4 linked regions of the Schizosaccharomyces pombe genome follow. The gene in region 3 interacts genetically with the main gene of each other region. Each region holds a gene or a part of one and is shown on either strand. Other genes may lie near its edges. The genes, in order: gef3, imp2, rgf3 and rho1.

Region 1 (4,578 bases), on a different chromosome or scaffold from region 3:
GCGTTTCCCGACGATAATTGGCATACAGGAATCCTATTCAAGTTTACAATAAAATGCATTATTTCCAACATTCATATAAAAATATCCTATGTCAAGCACTGAAATGTTGCAACCTATGTGTAACTTGTACCAACTGATATTTCAAGTAGATCATCGAAGAAATGGTTTATGGTTGAATTAAAAGAAGTGACACGATATATGAGTACTAAATGCAATAATTAATTACAGAATGTAATCCATACTCTGTACCGGCAATGCTGTAAGTATAAAAATTTTAGATTCCACCATACTATGTATCGATCGGAATCCGCCAATTAGGTACTTTGCAATTGGCAAAGACGAGCAGGTGAATAAAGGTATCTCTAGCAATTTACTTTATTAGTATTTGTTTAAAAAAGTGACTCCCGAAAAAGTCGAGAAAGAAGATTGAGTTTAGAAGCAAGAATAGGTTTGAAGCAGAGATTTAGACATAAGAGTTTGAAATGTCAATTTGAATACTGAAAGATAATTTATAATAGTTTGCAATTTTTTGTTATTTCCTTAAAGAAGGTGTAAAAGTTAGTCAGCTCCTTGTTGTTTTGTAATTATAAAATGTGAATTCCTTATTTTTAATCCATAATAAATAGATAAACTAATAATAAAAGGCAAAGAGACAATGAAGCTTTTGAAGAAAAATATTAGTTAATTGGGCATATCAAAAACAGAATACAATGCCTCTCATGATCATGTTTTGAAAAGATATCGATGAAAGTAAAATATTAACACGAAAGGTATCCGGTCGTAGTAAAAATACAATGCATGCTGTATTTTTCAAAAGAAACTGACAAATGCGACGAAAATTAAAGAGAAAAGAATGTTAAAATTAAAGAAGGAGATGCGACAAAAACGAAAGCGTCTGAAAATGGAAATGTTTCTGCGTGACAAAATTAGATTGCCATCCAAAAATGAAATGAAAAAGGATACGTAAAAGATAAAGCAAATTAATAAAAACCAAATTCTAAAGTAAGCACGTATCTCCTAGATAAAAGAAAGATTTTGTAAAAATTGATCCAATAAATAAATACCTTTAACCGTGATAAAAAGAGACACATTAGTCAAAAAAAAATGAAAGAGAAATAACTTAAGTTCAAAAAGTCGATTAGTAACGGAAGTCATTGGAATATCCGTAATATCGTGTATTCATTTTGATTTTGGGGAGGACTCCATACTAGACCGCAAACTGGTGAAATCCATTATGGATTCAATCGATGGAATATCCTGGTGGTCAGTTAAGTTGAATTTTGCAACGACAGGTTCAAGGACTTTCTGAATGGTATCGTAAAAGGTAGCTTGAATTTGAGCAAATGCTAATATACATTCGTCGGTAACATTACGCGCCATCTCCAAAAAAAGAGGAAGTTCTTCTAAAAGGCAATTACTAAGTAAAGGGAAGCTTTCAAGGTCCTCTTCAAAAACCTGAGATTGGCGTCGCTTGGAAAATGCTGTAGCTTTTTTGATCCATACATCGGTAACACAAAGGGGGTTTCGGAAGAAAAGAATACCATTGGAAATAGGTCTCAAAACGGATGTTTGACATTGCTCTGTCAAACGAAGCACTGCACCCTTGGCAATGTTGTCTAATGCTACACTAATGAGAGCCCATTTGTCTGCAGATTTAGTGTCTTTACAAAACACAGAATAGGCTTCGACGAAGGTAAAGAATTTTAGGTAATGATATCTGGAGAATTTTAACCAATCACAGATAGCACTTCGTAAATTTAAAAGATTGGTATAGGATGAAGACAGTTGATGGACAAACGCTAGAATGGGCTCATGTTCAGGTACGTAGAAAATGTTTGTAGAATTTTGAAGCTAAAAAACAATTAGTCGAAAAATTTAAAGATAGAAAATCATTGAACCCGACGTACCTTTGCAATTTTCTTGTCAATTGAATCTGTGGAGAGAAGTAAGACCTCTTGGGAATTCGAGACGCTATCCAGGGCTGTAATTATAATATCTCGTCTCCTTTTTAACTCATTCATTCTTTGGCTAGCGATCTCAGATTTGTGACAAGCTTCCCCGAGCAACACATAGTCGGAAATGATACCCAGTGAAGCAGATCGGTAAAGCTGATTTAGTAAAAGCGGATACTTCAGAAAACGCTGCACAGGCTTTACTAAAAAACTATCTAAATTCCAAGAGTTACTTTCAATTTTTGCCATGCTATCACATTCCTGCAAATATTCTGAGATTGATGAGTTCTTCATCCATTTTTCCACCTTTTTGCCAATGTTTTCTTGAATCACGCAGTATCGACCATAGACAGCAGATAGCTTGGGCAACCATGAAAGAAATAGTTGTGCAACGGAAGGCTTAGGCTTCAAACAGGCATCTTGATCATCCAAAATGTAATTGATTTCGTCGTTCAAGGATTTGTGCATTTCGATTTCGAAAAGTGATGCTTGCTTGCACAATACCAGAAAAATCTCAAACACATCTTTCCATTCGCTTTTTTTTACTCGGTCCGATAATCGGTCAGCATAGTACCGTTGAGCTACATGCAGATCATGAACGTAAGCGGCTTCTGAATCACGAAATTCCTCCAGAACAGAAATAATGGCTTTTTGTTTACTCCTCATAGCAATCGTCGATTCTGTGGTAGTGCTACAACTAGTTCTTGTCGACCTTGTTTCAGTTTCATGTTGACTTAACGCTATGGTCCAGTCAGGCCGTAATTTCAAAGTATCTTCTAAAGTGTGTGTCGAATTGGCTATAGGCAAGCTATCTGAAACAACTCTTTTTCCACGGCTTTGGAACATCCTTGGGTTACTCATCTTTAATCGGCTGTTGATTCAATGAGTTATCTACTCAAACGCGGGCACTTAGGAGTTCGTAGCGCGTTTGATTAGATCTCACAAAGCTAAAACAGAGTAGCAAGGCCGTTGATGAGTCGATTTCTTCTTTAAATACAATGCTAATTTAATCCAAAGAGTAACGCTTTTATCAATGAAATAGTTGAATAGCTGTTTTCTTTGTTGTTGCGGACGGCAAGAATAACCAGGTTACCTTAGTGGATATAGGAAAGAATTCCGCTTTTGAAAGAATGACTACAATGATATTGTACTTTATCAACATAAGCAAAGTTATTTGTACATAAATTATTTTCTTTTCTTATTTTTTAAAACTAACTAGTGGTCTTTGGGGATGCATTAAGTATTTGCTTAAAATATCGAACGTAAACAATACTTAGAAAATTAATGATATACACCATAAAATCGACGAAGTAGCCAACCGAGAAACAAATGATAATATTGGTAAGCTTTTTTTTGGATTAATGAGTTTTTCTTTAATTTTTTTTCTATTTATTTGCATTTTTTAAATTTTTTTTATTATTACTACTAAAAGCATCAATCTCATATCAAAATTAATTATTATGTTAAATATTTAAATAAACAAGTCAGTATTAGAAAACTTATTATACACTCGGTTTAAAAATGATTAGAAATTGAAGTATGGCTTGCACATTTATTTATATAATCTACTAAAAATTTATGTTTACCACTCAAAAGGATATGTTTTGATTGAGTATATCATTCATAGAAAATGCAAAAACCAATTTTAGAACATAAACAATTATATTTTTAAAAATTCACAGCTATATTTGCATCAGCCGGGAGTCGAACCCGGAGCTAGAGCATGGGAAGCTCCAATGTTACCGCTACACCACTAATGCATTCAGATATTTAGACTGATGTTGCAATCTATATAGTAATTTAGAAAGGATTGTTATTGTTGAGTCTGATGAAATTCTGTTTGTTGAACATTTCAAAAATGTTGCATATCAGTTAGCCATGAGTTGGGCTCTTAATATGATGTTCCAGCCTTTTAAGACTGCATACAGAAAATAATAATTAACTACGATATGGTCGCATTTTAACTGTATGAAACTTTTTTTACAAGAGGTTATTAGAAAATTCAATTGGAGGAAATCCCACAGTGTATCAAAACAGTTGCTGTTAAAACTTACTTTACACTTAACTCGTAAACATTCAACATTTTAACGTTCGATTTTCGAGTAGCAGCTTCAAAAAAGTGCTCGTTAATTTTTAACACATAAAAATGTGTAAACAAAGCAGCCACATAACCGATGTCTTACATATTCCTTCTGTACCCGTTGATATCCCAATTGAAGAAGGGATTTTAGTTGTAGCAAACAAAAACAAACGATAATAACAAAATAAAAATGATATTATACCACTTAACCCATGAATAGCTAAATTATAGTAAATTTTTAAATTAAGAAAAATTTTTTTTAAGCAGGACCAATTAATGGCGACGAGAGCGCTTGATTTTTTTTGAGGTATTTCTCACTTGCTTGGAAGTAAGCTTCTTTTCCTTTTCTCCCTCTTCAACAAGCCATTGTGTCTCTAATTCCTTATTTTTACCCTTATAACCCCATTTTGGTACCCATTCACCAGATGCTTCATCAAACACCAACCTGCCTTCCCGCTTCTTAGGAGCAATACCTTTAATACGAGCAAACCGTTGCCATTTGGTTTCGGGCTTGGGTTTAGGTAAAGGTTTAGCACGAGGAAGAGG
Region 2 (4,751 bases), on a different chromosome or scaffold from region 3:
TTAGATGAAGAAGGTGCCTGTGAATACCCTAAACTTATTGTTAACTTATTAGTCAAAAGAAAAAAAAGAAAACATACGCCTCGCGTAAGAGGAAGAATCTTGCATTTATAGTAATACAAGCAGATTGTTGTCTTTTATCGTTGGAGACGTTAGTTATAACAACAAAACCACTTTGCTAAGTAACAAAAATAACAGTGAATAGCGATTTCCAATATAGAACCGCAAAAATTTATAGTGAATCGCTTTGCAACTTAAAAAAGATATCGACAACGGCAGGATTCGAACCTGCGCTCCCAAAGGGAATCCGCTGGGCTACAGAATAGCAGGCGAACGCCTTAAAACCACTCGGCCACGTTGTCACAGCTTACTAGGAAATAGTAATTAGTTATACATGAAGCTATTATAGACCTGTGTGTTAACTTAGATTGGTAAAGATTTGATGTTTTTTAAGTTATTACAGAATTTTAGAAGCAAACGAGAATTACTAGAAATATTTAGGTAGAAAATGGTGCAATGAATGACAATAATTCAATCATTTTGAACATAATGCTATATATAACAATCGGTATCATTTTAATCTGCAAAATTCATAAAGATTTATAAGATAATAATCTTATAATGTAGATAACTTAACTAAACGTGTAGCATTCTAAATATCCTATAATGTAAAACAACCAAAATTAGAAATCTAGTATTTTAGATTTAAATGAGAATGAGAAAAGATGAGAAAATGCGAAACTATAATACGAAAGCTAAACCTCGATTTCACGAACAAAATTTGACGGAAATTGCCCACGGTTATGGTCATCCTCTCCAACGACAAATCCCTCCCACCAGCCGTCTTCATAAAGCTTAAGAACTGCAATGGTATCTCCCTTCCTGAAGCTTATCTCTTCGGGTATTGCAGCATCATAATCATATAAAGCAGATACTAAATTCAAGTTAGTAATTGTAATAGCGATGGACAGATTAGACATACCATAACCAAGAATACGTTGACCATCTGTACTTGTTGGATTATCAATACTGGTGTCACCGCCGTCTGTAGGATATGCAGGTAAAGAAAGTCGGTTAGACGTGTTTCCAGTAGCTTTTGTATTTATTGTATCATCAACAAAGGAAGAGTCCCGATCAGTATAAGGCTCGTCATCGGTAGGTGCAGTACCACTTGCTGGATCAACTCGAACACCGAAATCATAATTTGGCTCTAAATTTCCTGGTGTTAAGGAACGAGGAAGTCGGCTGGCATTCTGAGAAAGGGAAGAGGAAGGACGTTTTGGTGACCTACTTTTCCTCAATGTGAATGAACTTCGAGATCCATTCTTTCTTGAATCATAAACGGGTGAAACCGCACGATTCTCCATTTGTAGTACACTACCAAATTCTTCCTGAATTTGTTGACGCCGTGATGGAGTGTTAACATTTGGGCGGGAGTCCTCGGTGAAAGAAACAGAATTAGGACTTGGTAGAGAACCAAGTTCGTTATACCTTGGTGGTAGTGTATTAGAGTTAGGGAAGGCACCAGGAGCAGCAGGCGTAGGATTCTGTTTTGGCTCTTCTTGTAAAGAAAGATGCTTCATCTGTTCATCAGCCGCTGAAGTTAAAGGAGAGTCATTTCTCGGACTTGATAATGCATCCGGAGCCGTATTACCAACGTTTGGAGTCGAAGGACGACTCGTTAATTTAAACTTACTCAAAAAGCTTTTCTTTGGAGAGCTTCTACCATTTTGGGAAGAGTTAGAAGAAACAGTGGTAAGCGATTGAATTGCACTAGGAGTATTAGGAAGGGTATTTTCGAAGGACGACTCATTACGAGCGGTGGCAGAAAGGACGTATGGACGATTCAATGGCATGTTGTCATTTTCTATTTTGGTTTGGGCCCGCTGAAAATTAGCCTGAACCAACTCTACAGAATCATCGGGAACCTCGCCCTTATAATAGTCATAAAATTTTGGAGGTTGAGGAATTCCCGTTCCTGTAGATTTTGCGTCAATAAATTCCAAAACATCCTGAGAGACACTGCACTGTTCAAGATTTTTGCGAATTCGTTCACATGCTTGATCATCATTAAAGCAACTACGAGAGATAAGTAGTGTAAATGTCCACATGACGCTTTTCAGGAAATGTCTTCTTTCTTCTTCAATGTCCTGAAGTTTGTCACAGGTTGACCGCCATTCGTTGGTCCAACGAGCGTATGAATCTCTGACAGCTGCTACAGCTGATTGATAGTCAGAAGAACTAGCAGTGATAGCATTCTGAGTCTTGTTTAATTTCGCATTGTTCTTCTCTAGCTCCTTTCCGAAAAGCATGTTTTGCTGAGAAACATAGTAATTTACTTTCTTGCACAAGTAATGGTATTTGTCTTGAGCTTTAACAAGAGCTTGATGCTTGGAGAGTTTATCCTTATGAACTTTTTCTATCCCCGAAACGATCATCTTTTTCTTGTCCTTTAAAGAGGCAGCGTACCGCGTAAACGCATTTTCGACATCATCCTGAAGCAACTGAGAAATCTGCAAATGAGACTTTGCCATATTGTCAACTTCAGCTTTCATAACTTGGACTGATTCTTTGAGGCAACCAGTTTCCAAAGAACTGAAGGTTGTTCGAGACAACTTTGCCATTCGCTTGGCATAATCTTCTTCAATGTTCGCTCTAAGGTTGAAGTTAGAATAAACGATCATAGCATGTTAAACCCTGCTTCACCTCAAATTTCTCACCTTTCATGATAAAACGACCGAAGCTCTTCATTAATGTGTTTCACATCGCTAAAACGCGAAAGTAAAGCATGATAACCCTCATCATTTGCACCCTAATAAAGAATGTTAGTTAAGGTGTTGTGTTTAACACAAAAATCGAAAGTTTTGGCAGATAATGAGCTATCCACGTTGGCTTAGACACCATACCCAAAAGTAATTTGAAAAACTTTTATCAGGCTTTGCTGAAGATGCATTAAAGCTTAATTGTTGAGACATGTAAACGGAAAAAAACACGAATTAAGAGATTTTTCAATCTCGCCTTTATGGCAGTATTCTTTATTCGTATATGGTGGTGGTGTTGATTGTAAATGAAACTAACAACGAGGTAAACAAACGGCAACGCGTTGCCAGGTGCAGCTTTTCATGTCAACAATTAACAAATTTATCAAGAAAACCGATGTAATGAAGATTTTTCAGCCTTAAACTATCAAAAAAAAGCAATAGAATATTGCAGTGGAAAGATAAAAAGCCTTCAAATGCTGAGATATATATGGTGAACAATTGATTCATTCAAAGTCCACTTTATTCATCCTTGAGACTCTATAATTGTTATCTCTGTTAAGCGCACAAGTTTTGCTCACTATTTTGTATTGATTATGTGTGAATACTGTGATTTGAGAAGCGACCCAAGGCAGTCCTGAAAAAAAATACTTACCATAAACTCCGGTAAGCGAACTTATAGACTTAGACATTATGCTAATAAAACAATGATTTAGCATGTATGTATTTGCAGACTTCACGTTCTGTATAGCTATCTCCCGTCTCAAATCGTTTTACTATGTAAAATATTAAATTTTTGAATGGAATGCAACATGCTATTAATCAAAAACTTAATATACTATGCAAGCGGTTCAGGCGTACTGAAAAGTAATATTTTTTAGATAGCTCGATTTGTACCTGCAGCATCATTCGATGTGAATAAAAAATCGTATAATAATTTGTTTACTTAGTGAAATACACTAATCGAAAAAATAAATAAACACTAAAAAAAACATAAATACAACGTTTATGTGAGTCAAATAGATTAAACATATTCATTTATCAGGTACATACAAAACGCCCTTGTAATTCTCGGTTTTTCTTCCAATTTCCATTATTTTCAATCTTATTTTTTATTTCACGAGATCGCATTTCTTAATAACCCGACTTACGTCATGGGTTGGCGGTAGGGACGCTGATATGTTTACTATATATACAGCAGCCGCCCGGCTTCGGCGGTTTATTCTTTAACAAAACAACTGGTGATAAATACTCATTCTATCACACTTAAACACTAGGTGAGATTAAAGTTATTAATTGCTTTTGTCCCTATACATTTGCGAAGTTTTGATAATACGACCAACCTTGAATTTTTTGTACATCCTCTGAAATTATAAATAATGGAACGCGAAGGTAAAGAAGACGTTCGTAAAGCCGACCACAAGATTGTTTATGGTATTGAACGTGTGCGACATGGAATTAACAACTTTTTTGATGACGTTGGAAAAGCAGTAAAGTCGGAAAGCGATACTGCCGACTCCAAGAGAAGTGCTGAGGCGAAAGCCGATGAAGCCCCTGCTAAAATGTAGTGTCTAAAATTACAAGTACTTATACTCACTTTTAAAACATGATCCTCCAACTTTTTGTGATGCTGAACTTTACGATCTTAGCCATGCATGGCGAAAACTGTTTATATATCGAATTGATAAAGCCAGTTTGCACAGCAGCAATAGCATTCTTCGTCTATAAGTTATTCAATACAATGCTTGATGAAAGAGAAAACAAAAATCGTTGTCATTAAAGTATAATAGTATTACGGGTAGTTAAAAATGGATAAATTTAACATCAGTCATACCTTGTTTATATGAAAAGCGATATTCTAAATTGTAGAAGTGTAGTTCTTTTTTATCAATTGCATTCTTCTATTTTCTAGAATAAATCCTCCGCATGCATACGCATGCGCTTTGAGACGAATGTGCCTTGAGTAAAACTGGGTTTGAACTTTGCTTTCCGTTC
Region 3 (7,459 bases):
CACCAAAATCATTTCCGTCTTTAAGAGTCAATGGGACGATCTGGTGATTATTTGAAGTACCAAAAACGGAAGGAAAAGATTCACTGTGCTCAATATTTTTCACAGGAGATGCTTCTCTCTGATGAGTTGGAGGTGCAGGAGGTTGAGACGATGGAGGCTGCAAACTCGTGGAACGAAAGGGCAAAGGTTTCCGAGGAAGCCTTCGCGTGGGAGGAGGAAGAGGTTTTTTTGAGACTGGAGCCGGTTCCATGAACGCAGGAGTACTTACAGTTCTCGCCGGCTCCCGTTTTCTTGGAGCACCAAAAATTTCCTCATAAGCACGCGAGCTCTCATTCACACCGAGTGCATTTGGATGCCGGTAATCCATTGCTACTATAAAAACAATCAGTTTGACGATCGAATCGACAATGCTGAATGTTTCCCGTGAAAACGAGGGTTTGGTGGTGGAGAAAAAGACAAGATAATTTGACCACAAACTTTCTGCGAAAGTAGCTACGAACTCGTTATAACGGTAAGATGATGAAAAATTCTAATTTATACGATTTTCTAAATCAAAGACCATTAATATGTAAATTGCGTATTGCTTGATGAATTAATGTTTTGCTTTAGTATATTGCTTTCACCTTCAATTTCTTTTGCATGGAGGGTTTCCACTCGAAACACATGCTAAAAGGCGACATAAAAAAAGGCTTTTGTTAGTGTTTCCAGAGTTGAATGTTTAAAATTTGATTTAAATTATAATAATAAGTTTATATAGCCGTCCTGGTTCGTTCAATGAAACAATTGATTTGTTTACTTGTCTGCTTAGCAATTTGAGAGAGCAACAGGTATATTAAGAAAAGATTATCCTCGAAGGGAAAAATACGTATACTTAATATATCAGAAGAATTGTTACAGCAGCAGTAAACCGCATTAATATTATGAAGGGATGAGAAGCTATAAGTCATCAGTATGCTGTTTTGGGCTAAGTTTATCTACTTCTTCTATAGATAAGGTGATTTCAATGTTGAATATGTAGTAAAAAAGTCTTGAACTCCTTAAAAAAAAAGTACAAATCTGAATTTTCACTAGTCCTAACAAAGTTAATATCAACATTCAACTGCATCCTGGTCGACTTTCCACTAAAAAAAAAAACGCTTATATAAAAAGGGAAGTCATGAATGAACTCCTTTACTTTATATTGCCTATTGCTTTTCTACTTGCTGCAATTTATGTGCTCACTTTTTCTGTCCGACCAGCTCATAATTGTATTACCGATTTACAAATATGAAAAACATCATCTAAAATAATTAGCTTTAATCCGGATAACCTCAATTGATCGATTTCTATGACTATGCTGTATTGACTTATTTTATTTTAATTGCGTTCGCATTGTTTACTATTCAGCTTGTGCTCAACATCATATAAATTGATCAAATATCTTTTTGTACACTTTATTTGCCCTATTTATCGTTTAAATCATGTAATCTAAATTTGGAAAATTTGCTAGTCAAAGACCAATTTTGTTCTTCCGTCGCGAACATACAACCAGCCATTTTCTTATCCACTCCGCTCGCCGTCCACGAAGATCCCTTGGTGGTGGGTTATAAGTTATTTAACATTTACACATATATTTAAAAACCATAAAGTCCTATAATCTTTTCTTAGGCATCGATTTTGATTTATCCCAAACGTTTCATTAGAAGAGGTTGTTTTTTTGATCAAGTCATTACCTTTCATAATATACTGCTTTTGCTTTCTCTCTTTCTCTGTCTATAAACCTACGAAACTTGATTCCTCTGAAACGCTTGGGAGCTTTCTTTCCTTTTTGGGTTGTTTCAATCAGATCATCCTATATTATTCCTTCCGCCCTAACCCTTTTATTGTGGCATCACAAACCGAATAAACAGACTGTTGCATTGATATTGCGATACAATTCTTTCTTTCTTTTTTTCTTTCTTTCTGTATTCGTAATTTTATGTCAAAGTCTTTTATTAATAGAGGACGGGAGTTTCTCTGGTTCATCGCATAACTTTGAAAGCATCAATCGTTTTCATTCCGGCTTACTATAAAATTGCTTTTTTTGAGGGCGTACGAGATTGGTTTGCATTTTTTGAATTCCATTGACACTGAATTTGTTCTATTTTAATTTATTTTCCCTTATTTTATTCCATTTATTAATTTCTCTTCGCATTTCTTTCTTTTTTTTTATACTCTTCTTTCTCAATTCCTTTTTCTATCTTTTTTCACCTCTCTTTTCTCTTTTGTTGCACTGTCCATCCTGCAACATTTAGTTTTGACCTTTCTCTTTCTTGGATTGCAATTGAAATTGACTCCTATTTGGCCTTAGCTTGCCTTGATTCTTCAAATATTATTGTAGTTCTTTTTTGACCTAGTCATTTTTGGTGATTGTGGTTCCCCCTACCACTTTTTCTTTTATGAAGCTCTCCAATGAACTTTTTCATCGGAGCTCGAAAGACCATGGTGGAAAGAGCCGAATTTGTTTAGACTCTTCAGAGGACACTTATCCTCCTCATTCCTCTTCTCCACCATCTTTTCAGAAACGTCTATCGTTTTCCGACTTTTCTACCACCAGACTCTTTTCTCCTCCTTTTCTTTCTAAACGTTCGAATAATTCTCCCCATCGGTTTTCTTATTCGCCTCCTCAACATCCAGCATCCATTAACTCTCGTAGAGTCGCGTCTTACACGGTTCAGTCATCTCCATCAAGAACAACGTATCGACAATTGCCGAATGAACCTCAAAATTCTGCAGCCTATACTACTTACTCTTCATTTCCTAATGCCTTATTTGATGATTTCAGTCCTAACAACCCGCTTGACACGGACCCCTTTTTAACATCTCCTGGAAACAAACAAAATACTGTAGATTCGTTTCGTCCATTACCTGAAACGCCTGTTTCTCCTGGTGGGTCCTTAGTGCATCCTTTACCACGTCCACCCCTTCCTTCTTCTGTTTCTTCGCATTCTTCTCCTTACAGCACCACATCCTCCACTAGTCTTTACTCTCTATACAATGACATATCGTTATCCTGCTCACCAGAGCCATATCTTCCTTTATCACCTACTCGATCACCGGCTCGCACTCCTAGTCCGATTCGTCTTTACTCGAGCGACGCTCTTCGTCCACAGTCGCCTTTAAGCCCTTCCGTCGAATATCTAACACCCCCAAATCCTTATAGTTTAAAATCTGATATTTCCTCTACAAGACAGCTACCAAAGATACCTGTCCAAGACTATGCATCTGGAAAAATTTCTTCTCCTTTGATAACTCGAACTCACAGACGTGCTCAATCGGAAACCCTTTTTAGCAGCTGTAGAGAACCTTGGTTGGTCGGTAAATTATACAAATGGTGCAAAGAAGAAGTGTTTACTGCTCTTGGTGGCCTGGTCCACGAAGGTGTGTCTCGTCGAGAAGTAGCTCAGGTGATGGCTACGCTATTTACTATTCACATTGCATCTATGGAATTTTTGATTGCTGAAATTATCGCGAAAAACATCCTTGGTGATTGGATTAATTACGGTCTTGTGGAAGTCATAAATCTTGAAAAGCTTCAAATTGCTTTCACATCTAATGAACCTCCTTCTGGTAGTGGAGTACTTCCATTTTTGACCAACGGCGGCTGTTACTCTTACATTTGTAGATCCAGATCATGTCCTTCCAAATATCAATGTTATAGCTGTAGATGTGCTCGTAACTCGTCGCTTGAATTCACTTCTCTGCCAGGACAGAGTAGCGATACTTGGAGCATTTTCTGGAACATTTCTTCTCTAAATTCATTACCATCTTCTCTCAGTAAAAGAGAGATTGCTAGGCAAAATAATATCCACGAGCTTATTTGTAAGGAATCTGATTACGTTGCAGACTTAAATACCCTAGCTGAACTGTTTAGGGACGGAATTGTGCAGCAGCAAGATGCGATTGTTCCCAGCAATCGAGTGGCTGACTTTATTCAATCTGTATTTGGAAATGTTGAATCAATCAGACAATTGCATTCTCGACTGTTCTTACCACAATTAATTATGAGGGAACGTCTCCAGGGCCCAGTAGTTTCAATTATTGGTGATATCTTACTAGAGTGGATTCATGCTGCTAAATCCTCTTATATTAATTATGCCAAACAGTTCCCTTTAGCAGATGAAACTTATAAGCTAGAATGTCAAAGGAATACTTACTTTGCACGTTGGCTTGCTGCTTGTCGATCAGATCCTAGATGTCGTCGGTTGGATTTCCAGCATTTCTTGCAAAGACCTACTCAACGTTTACAAAGATACACGCTTGAGTTGGATACAATTTTAAAGCATACCGAGCAGTCCAGCTGGGATTTTCAATTAATAACTCAAGCTGTCAAAGAACTGAGAGCAACTTGCGAGGAATGTGATGCCGTTATAGCTACCGTACTTGAGGCCAATCGTATTCGCGATCTATCGTATCAACTTCTGTTTAAAAATCATGAAAGTGTCAATCTAGAGCTAAGGGATCCTGAAAGAGAGTTCTTTTTTGAAGGAATAGTTCAACGTAGAAGTGATTCCCGCTTGGATTGGTTGGACATCCACTTGTTTTTGCTCGATAATTACTTGATCATGGCCAAAGCAAGAAAAGACAAACGAACAAATGCTTCAAGATATGTTGTTTCAAAAAGGCCAATACCATTAGATTTGCTTGTTCTAAGCCCTAAAATGGACGATTTTCAACTTAAATCAAACACTAATAAATTTCTTGGCAGTTTAGCTGGCAATTTACCACAGGAATCTCTTACCACTAAGAGTAAAAGGAAGAGTAAGGTGAATCTTGAACTAATGTTCGATGCCACTGCTGAAAAGAATAACGAAAACTCAATGAACTCTGCTGTATTTGAGAAGTCTCAACTTTACCCCTTCACAATAAGGCACCTTGGTGCTTACACCGCTAGTTATACACTCTACGTTGAGTCACTTCAGCTTCGTAAACTCTGGGTTGAAAAAATTAATGTCGCAAAAAAACGACACTCTCAGAAGATAAATATTAAGAATCCGTTTGCATTGAAAGTTGTATCTGACGTTGCCTTTCAGTACCCTCCTTCCGACTTAGTTAATGGAAATGAACCATTAAACAGCTTTAATGAAATTACTTTGGTTGAAGGCTCTTCGATTGATCGCGCACTCAATGAGGTAGCGTGGAAACACCCAATTGTAAGTGAGGAGCTTTTGCCAGAGCCTATTGCCTATGGCGATATAAGTTGTATTGCCCAGTTTAATGACTACGAAGGTCATGTCTCGGTTTTGATTGCTACATCTACCGGTATCTTTTTAGGCGCATTTGGTGATTCCAGTGACATTCGCGATTGGAAAAAGATCTCTAGTCAAAGACGCGTTACCCAGCTTGGAGTTGTTGAGGAATTTGATATCCTATTAGAGCTACGTGACAAAACCCTTTATGCTCATAAATTAAGTCGTATTATTGAAATGGGTCTGATCGAATCCAAAATTGCAGTTGTCATTGGAACTCCGCATGCCGTATCATTCTTTAAAATAGGTAAATTGTCTGAGGGGGCTTCTGTTAAACGTGAGCGAACTTTGGTTTTTTATAAAGAGGGACTCGGTAATACTACAACCATAATTTGCTGTGAACCAGTGATCGGCTTAGGACATAACTATCAGAAAACATATGCCTTCAAGAGAAAAGATGTTACTTCCTTCAGAACTCTGGATGATTTTCACGTAACGGCTAACTGTCATTCAATTGATTGCTTTAAGTATTCAATTGCTCTTTGTCACAATAAAGGCATTGACGTTCTGCGTTTGGACCCTAAATTAGCAGTTGGTTTTCCAAGCCCTTCAGTGCTTAATGATACGTTGTTTCGGAACCGAATCAACAACAGTAAGCCGCTTGGCGTCTTTCGCATCCACGATCCTAGCTTATTTGCATGCTGCTATCAATTCGGTGCCGTGTTTGTCAATGGAGAGGGTAGTATGGTTAATAAAGAGTGTTGGTTTGATTGGATTGGCAAACCGAACTCTGTTACCAGCTGTCATGGATATCTCATTGCATTTAATGATGAATTTGTCGAAATATGGAACACGCGAACTAGGAAACTTAATCAAATTATCCAAGGAAATGACATTAAATACTACCCTAGTAACAGTGATTGGCTAGCCAATGGGAAATATATAATGTTTGGCATGGTTCATCCTCAGTATCACGATCGCCATTTGATACTCGCTTTAAATAAGGCAAAAACAAACTCCTTCATAATTGAAGATTGATAATTATCATATTTATTACAAGTTTTCTTGCCATGATTGTCTTTTTTACTCATCCATACTTTTGAATATCGGAAACGTTTATCTTATTTTGTTTTACGGAACATCCTGCATCTTTCGAATCATATTTTATCGCAGCCTTGAAATTTTATTTCTTCTTTTTTTTTTTTTTTACATTTCCCTACCCATTTTATCACAAAGGAATATTAAAATCTGCATGCATTAACATTTTTTAATTACTTAAAATGATCGCTACTATCATTATGTTCAGTGTTAAGCCAAAATTGGCTTATTGTACAAGTTGCATAAACTTGCCGACTACAGTTGATGAAAACAGAGAACATTGTTGTTTTTTTACGTAACTGGTTATGGTATTCTGCATGTTTTGATCATAAGTTTAAAGATGTGGTTACACATTGAAGCACCATGCTTTCTTTCAAACACTAACTGAAGCAACTAACATTTCTGTATATTTACTTATTGATTATTACCAGGGCCATAGCTGTAGATGGTCAGTAAGCACATAATAATTACTGATTGCGATTATTAGCTAGAGCGTGTTCTTATAATTATTCAGTAAGAGGCATGATTAGAGTGCTATATATAAAATGTAGATAAATAAATGCCGAGTTTAGTTATTTGCTTTAAAAGTTGTGTTCGGTACGATGAGGAACATATTATTTGCGTATCTAGTCACAAATTACTCATATATCTGTAATAGCGGGAGTTTTTTATACAATCATTTTACCTAAAAGCACGGGGGAACATGAAATTTCGATTAAACCGTAACCCCTAATCCTACGTTCATTTGATGTTTTGAGTATTAGTACAATGTATTTTCAATTATTACTTAATATCTTCAATCTTGATGAAAGTAAAGCTTTAAAAATTTGTCAGGACTTTAATTGCAAAAGACCGAGTATATAATGACCTCCATCTATTAATATTATTTCTTTTAAAAGATATATATACCTTCTTAATTGTGATATTAAAATCATTATGTTATAGGAATGTTTCTGGATGCTACCTTAACCTATACTAAATGTTTTAACGCAAATATGATCAAGTACATAAACGTTCGATTAACGCATGCGTTAATCGAATGTTCAAGTGCTTAAATCATTAATTGCTGTGCGTTCAACGGGGAGTACAAAAAGTATCCAACAACATAGTTCTTTAACGTTTTCTCTGTGCATTTGTTGATCCTTCTTTTCGGA
Region 4 (4,301 bases), on a different chromosome or scaffold from region 3:
ACATACAATTGATAAAGTATTGTTTCCTTGATTTATAAATTGTAAAGCTAAGTTGAGTTAGCTTTTTTGTTAAGACCTCTCAACTTTTAGATTTAAGATTTTGATTCCCATTTCTGTTGTAATATGTAACCTTACTAATGCTTTACATTAAAGCATGAAGATTTCGACTCTGCATTTTACTTATAAGCACTATAAAAGGTACACATAGAGATAGACAAACAGCTTTTAGTAGCTACAAAAACTTTGTTCTTTTCCCTTTAATTCACTATTTGCTCCCTCGCAATTATCCTTTTTTTTAGGTAAAGTCAACAATGCTTATATCTTCATCTGATAATCTTGCCTGTAGACAGAGTGAAAATCAAATGGTAATACAAATGCATAGATAGAATAACAACGGTCACCTTCAAAACATGAAATTGCAAACATTGGTATGCTTGACGTAAAGAGAATGAGATATAAACAGTGTGCAAATTTCCGCAAAATACAAAATGTTTAAACCATCAACTACGGCTATCTGCTACTTCGACTATCAACGTGTATAAAAATACCAAGCGCCTGTATACCAGCAAGGTTATCAACAGAGATAATGTCGCTTCAATTTTCTACAATAATTCTAGTGCAAAATTGGAGACCCAGCTAAAGTTCCACGATAATAAGCAATTACGTGCTGTGAGAAAGCTTATAAAATATTCGGGTTTTGATCGAGTTTCAATCGAGGTGTATATTCTTTAAATTACCGATTTATAAAAATTTACCAAGTCCTTTGACTAGGTAGAAAGGATAATAATGATGGCAATCCTTAACAAAAGAAACAAGGTATTATAGGAAAAATAAAACCATGCAATAACAAGGCAATAAGGGAAATTTTCTTCAAACTAATAGCGAAGAGTATAGCAAAGTAAGCAAAGACTGAAAACAAGACGCATACTCCTTGCAGGTGCCTATACGTTGCAGAACAGTGAGGGGAAATGGTAGAACAGCTATATGAAATGCGCTTAAATCATTGCCAAGCTGACTAAATGGCACGACTTGAGGTAAGTAAAAAGGAAAGAATGAGAGGATATAATGACTATGTAACATGATAGGCCACACAATGCAAAACTCCCACCAAGGTGAAGGTGAAATAAAAATCAACATAAGTCGAAAAAATACGGAAACTTGTTGAATGTGCTTCGACTGAAGAGATGTATAAAAACAGAAAAGATAAATTCTCTAAGTTAAAAAATTTGGAAACAAGCTGTTTACAACAAGATACAACGCTTCTTCTTCTTAGTTCCACTAGAGGGCTTCACTTTGGGCTTGTGTTTGAGCATAGCAGCACGAGTGGCTGATTCAAAAACCTCACGAACACCTTCATTCGTCTTGGCAGAACACTCAAGGTATTTGTAAGCACCAATCTTCTGAGCTACTGCTTGACCTTCTTCTGTGGTGACGGGATGCTGATTAGTCTTGGATAACTCCTCAATAATTTTTGGGTCGTTACGGAGATCAGCCTTGCAAGCGACAAGCAAAATAGGAAGACTGGAACAGAAATGGAGAACCTCGGAAATCCATTTTTCTTGAACATTGTCAAGAGAATCGGGAGAATCAACAGCAAAGCAAATAAGGATAACATGTGAGTCAGGATATGACAAGGGACGTAGACGGTCGTAATCTTCTTGTCCAGCCGTATCCCAAAGAGCCAACTCAACGTGGCGTCCATCAACCTCAACATCAGCTACATAATTTTCAAAAACAGTGGGAACATAGACCTCGGGAAAGGTTCCTTTAGAAAATACACTATAAAGAAAAATGTTAGAAGTTGTATAACAATGACACAGACTCGTGAAACATTGCAGATAAGCAAGCAAAGAGTAAGTAGAAATACAGGGTACGGAGTGCAAATTAAATCCTCGGAACATTTATTAAATGTAATCTAAACCCCATCTAAGTCTCATTTCTATGGGGATTCTTTCATTATTTTCTTGAGGCAATGAACATGCTTACGGAAATAATTTTCTTCTCCAGCCATGCTAAGCAAGAGATGTAAACCCTTGCCAATTTAAAACAGGCCCAAGCAACTACTTTACCCTTCTACTACCTTTCCGACGCTTGCACCATTTTTACTTACATTAATAAGCATGTTTTACCACATGCACCATCTCCCACAATAACGAGCTTTCTGCGAAGTTCTGTCGCCATCCCTAGATTTGTTTACTTTCTCCTGCTCTAGACAGAAAAATTTCGACGTAAATAAACGTTTTTCGACTCAAATTCTGACACCGCTCTTTCCTTCGATGTGGCAGTGGTTAGCTATTTACTAGGCTGTCAGCGGCTCATGTAACAACGAAAGGAAAGAAGGAGACGCTACTACACTTCACTAAATCTCGTTACTTTGCCCTAGCGCTCTTATAGATGAACCCTTTGAGTATGTATGGACGAGGCTGAGCCTGTACAGAGTGTAAAGTGCAATTAAAACAGTTTTATTACAAAAAGATTGTCTCCACTCCGACTTGATGTCAACAGACGTTTTTTTGTTTGAATCACAAACGCCAAAAAAAGCAGAAACCAGCGGAAAAATTTCGTTAACGTATTCAGTTTAGTCATAATATTCGAAGATAACGGAACGCATTTAATCCGCTTATCCTATTTTAACGTACACACTTTATTTCAGTATTTTATAAATAATAAACATAGCAGGAATATAGAAACTTTTGGAAGAGACATAAAGAAGCAAAGCTTCGTATAAATAGCTATAATTATAATTGTATACTCATAAAATTAAACAGCATTCTATTTGTAAAATGCAAATGTGAGATGAATTCCTAAATTCAAAAAGCGGCAATTTTTGGTGCCGAAAAATAATTTTACATGTCAGATTGAAGTAATAAAGCAATATTACGATGCTCTTTCTTTCTATCGTCGTTTTGTTTGCTCTCTTATTTCTCGAGATCAATAAAATCCTACTTTAATTTTACTAAAATTATATCGCCCAAAAAAATATTGATCCGGTAGCAGATCTACAAATATACAAAAATGAAATGTAACTTTAGCCTCTTTTATTCTTCTTCATAGTTAAAATAAAACAGACGGTTTCAGTAGATCTATAACTTAGCTCTTAACTCACTACTTTGTCTCTTTTAACTTTTGCCATTGATTCATTTCAGTACTGGAGAACATAAGACCAATATATTAAACAGTTTGAACAGCGCGCCCTATAGATTTCCCACAAATTGAAAGAGAAAAAAGTCCTGAGTCGTTATTATTGAACATCTATCAAATTGGATACCGTATTATTGATCGCTGACATTTCATTTTGTAGTTGACAAGAAAAGAAAAAGCGGGTTGAGTAAACTTTACCTTTTAGTGCTTTAATCTTGTTTATAAAGTGAAAGTGGTTGAAAGCTGTGTGGCCTCTTAATTATACACATATATATTTACGCGGTTACTTTTTTTTTATAGTTTATAAATTAAACTGATAGCTTTCGATGATGCCATCATCAAGTTTCCAACAAACTCCCAAACCCGTCGATTTAGACGATCCAAGGTTTGAACAGTACGATTGCTTGCCATGCCGCTTGGTGGGCGCAGGCGCTTTCACAGGTCTAGGAATATATGCCTATTCGCAATCTAGAATTCCTTTGAATACACCCAATTACAAGCTTAAACGATTCGGTATTTTGGGAATGGCTTATGGATTTATTCTTACCGGTGTCTATAGATTGTTTCAATAAAATGTTAATAAACGTCGTTTTCTATTATCAGTTATCTTAAGACGTGAAGAAGTAACTTGAATCAGAAGTAAATGTTTTTTACTAAATTGCATTTTAATCAAACGGGTGAAGTTTTTTTGCTTTCTGATGCACATCCAACAAATATGCTTAAATGGTAACTAAACCTATACACTATAACAATTATGGAATAAAAGAAAAGAAGCAGAAATGAAGGGAAAATTCTGAAATATAATTAAAAAAAGAACCATAAATAAAAAAAAGGATGCGAATACACTAAATAGTTGACTTTTGTCTAAAAATAAGATTTAGACATTGATTGCTTATTGAACCTCCTCGTCGAGTTCATTGTAAGAATGCTTGTGTGAATTGTTTTAAAGGTCTTTTACCCCAAACTTTGTAGAAAATTATAGTTTAAAAAAATCTCAGAGACAACAATTGTATAATAATGAAAGAATGTGTAAGGTAGATGGAATGTAATATATATGTAATACGACACAACATTTTCCATCCACGTTTAACGAAAAGCATTGTTAGGTAATGGTTTGCGTCGACGTTCAGCGTTGTTATTATTTTCAGAGATGCGGGTAT

The links.
Region 1: of rgf3 (region 3) and gef3, a mutation in one rescues a mutant of the other (synthetic rescue), as found in Schizosaccharomyces pombe (one study listed by BioGRID).
Region 2: mutations in rgf3 (region 3) and imp2 impair growth when combined (synthetic growth defect), as found in Schizosaccharomyces pombe (one study listed by BioGRID).
Region 4: of rgf3 (region 3) and rho1, extra expression of one rescues a mutant of the other (dosage rescue), as found in Schizosaccharomyces pombe (4 studies listed by BioGRID).

What each region holds. Positions count from the first base shown.
Region 1 is NC_003423.3:2,068,621-2,073,198, reverse strand, and holds gef3 (RhoGEF for Cdc42/Rho3/Rho4 (Gef3)), read right to left. Parts: upstream 3,029-4,578; 5' UTR 2,814-3,028; coding exon 1,908-2,813; intron 1,852-1,907; coding exon 1,180-1,851; 3' UTR 520-1,179; downstream 1-519. Other genes in the region: ribosome biogenesis protein Rrs1, read right to left, coding at 4,306-4,578. UniProt on the Schizosaccharomyces pombe protein: Has a role in the control of cell polarity and cytokinesis. Involved in bipolar growth and septum formation.
Region 2 is NC_003423.3:3,346,202-3,350,952, reverse strand, and holds imp2 (F-BAR domain protein Imp2), read right to left. Parts: upstream 3,054-4,751; 5' UTR 2,973-3,053; coding exon 2,904-2,972; exon of another isoform or gene 2,810-2,903; coding exon 2,718-2,809; exon of another isoform or gene 2,653-2,717; coding exon 980-2,652; exon of another isoform or gene 932-979; coding exon 753-931; 3' UTR 501-752; downstream 1-500. Other genes in the region: protein Ndc80, read right to left, coding at 1-28, 78-105; protein tam11, read left to right, coding at 4,136-4,324; SPOM_SPBC11C11.01 (U2-associated protein), read right to left, coding at 4,665-4,751. UniProt on the Schizosaccharomyces pombe protein: Required for normal septation. Involved in the disassembly of the medial ring during septation.
Region 3 is NC_003421.2:1,238,171-1,245,629, reverse strand, and holds rgf3 (RhoGEF for Rho1, Rgf3), read left to right. Parts: upstream 1-1,596; 5' UTR 1,597-2,417; coding exon 2,418-6,245; 3' UTR 6,246-6,909; downstream 6,910-7,459. Other genes in the region: RhoGEF family guanine nucleotide exchange factor Rgf1, read right to left, coding at 1-367. UniProt on the Schizosaccharomyces pombe protein: Stimulates the exchange of Rho1 GDP-bound form into GTP-bound form. Regulates, via interaction and activation of Rho1, beta-1,3-glucan biosynthesis and cell wall integrity during septation. Involved in the regulation of contractile ring assembly.
Region 4 is NC_003424.3:4,222,060-4,226,360, reverse strand, and holds rho1 (Rho family GTPase Rho1), read right to left. Parts: upstream 2,291-4,301; 5' UTR 2,182-2,290; coding exon 2,111-2,181; exon of another isoform or gene 2,039-2,110; intron 1,876-2,038; exon of another isoform or gene 1,780-1,875; coding exon 1,242-1,779; 3' UTR 537-1,241; downstream 1-536. Other genes in the region: protein tam6, read left to right, coding at 3,468-3,713; plasma membrane TRP-like calcium ion channel Pkd2, read right to left, coding at 4,228-4,301. UniProt on the Schizosaccharomyces pombe protein: Involved in the regulation of cell wall growth and actin cytoskeleton organization. Activates (1,3)-beta-D-glucan synthase.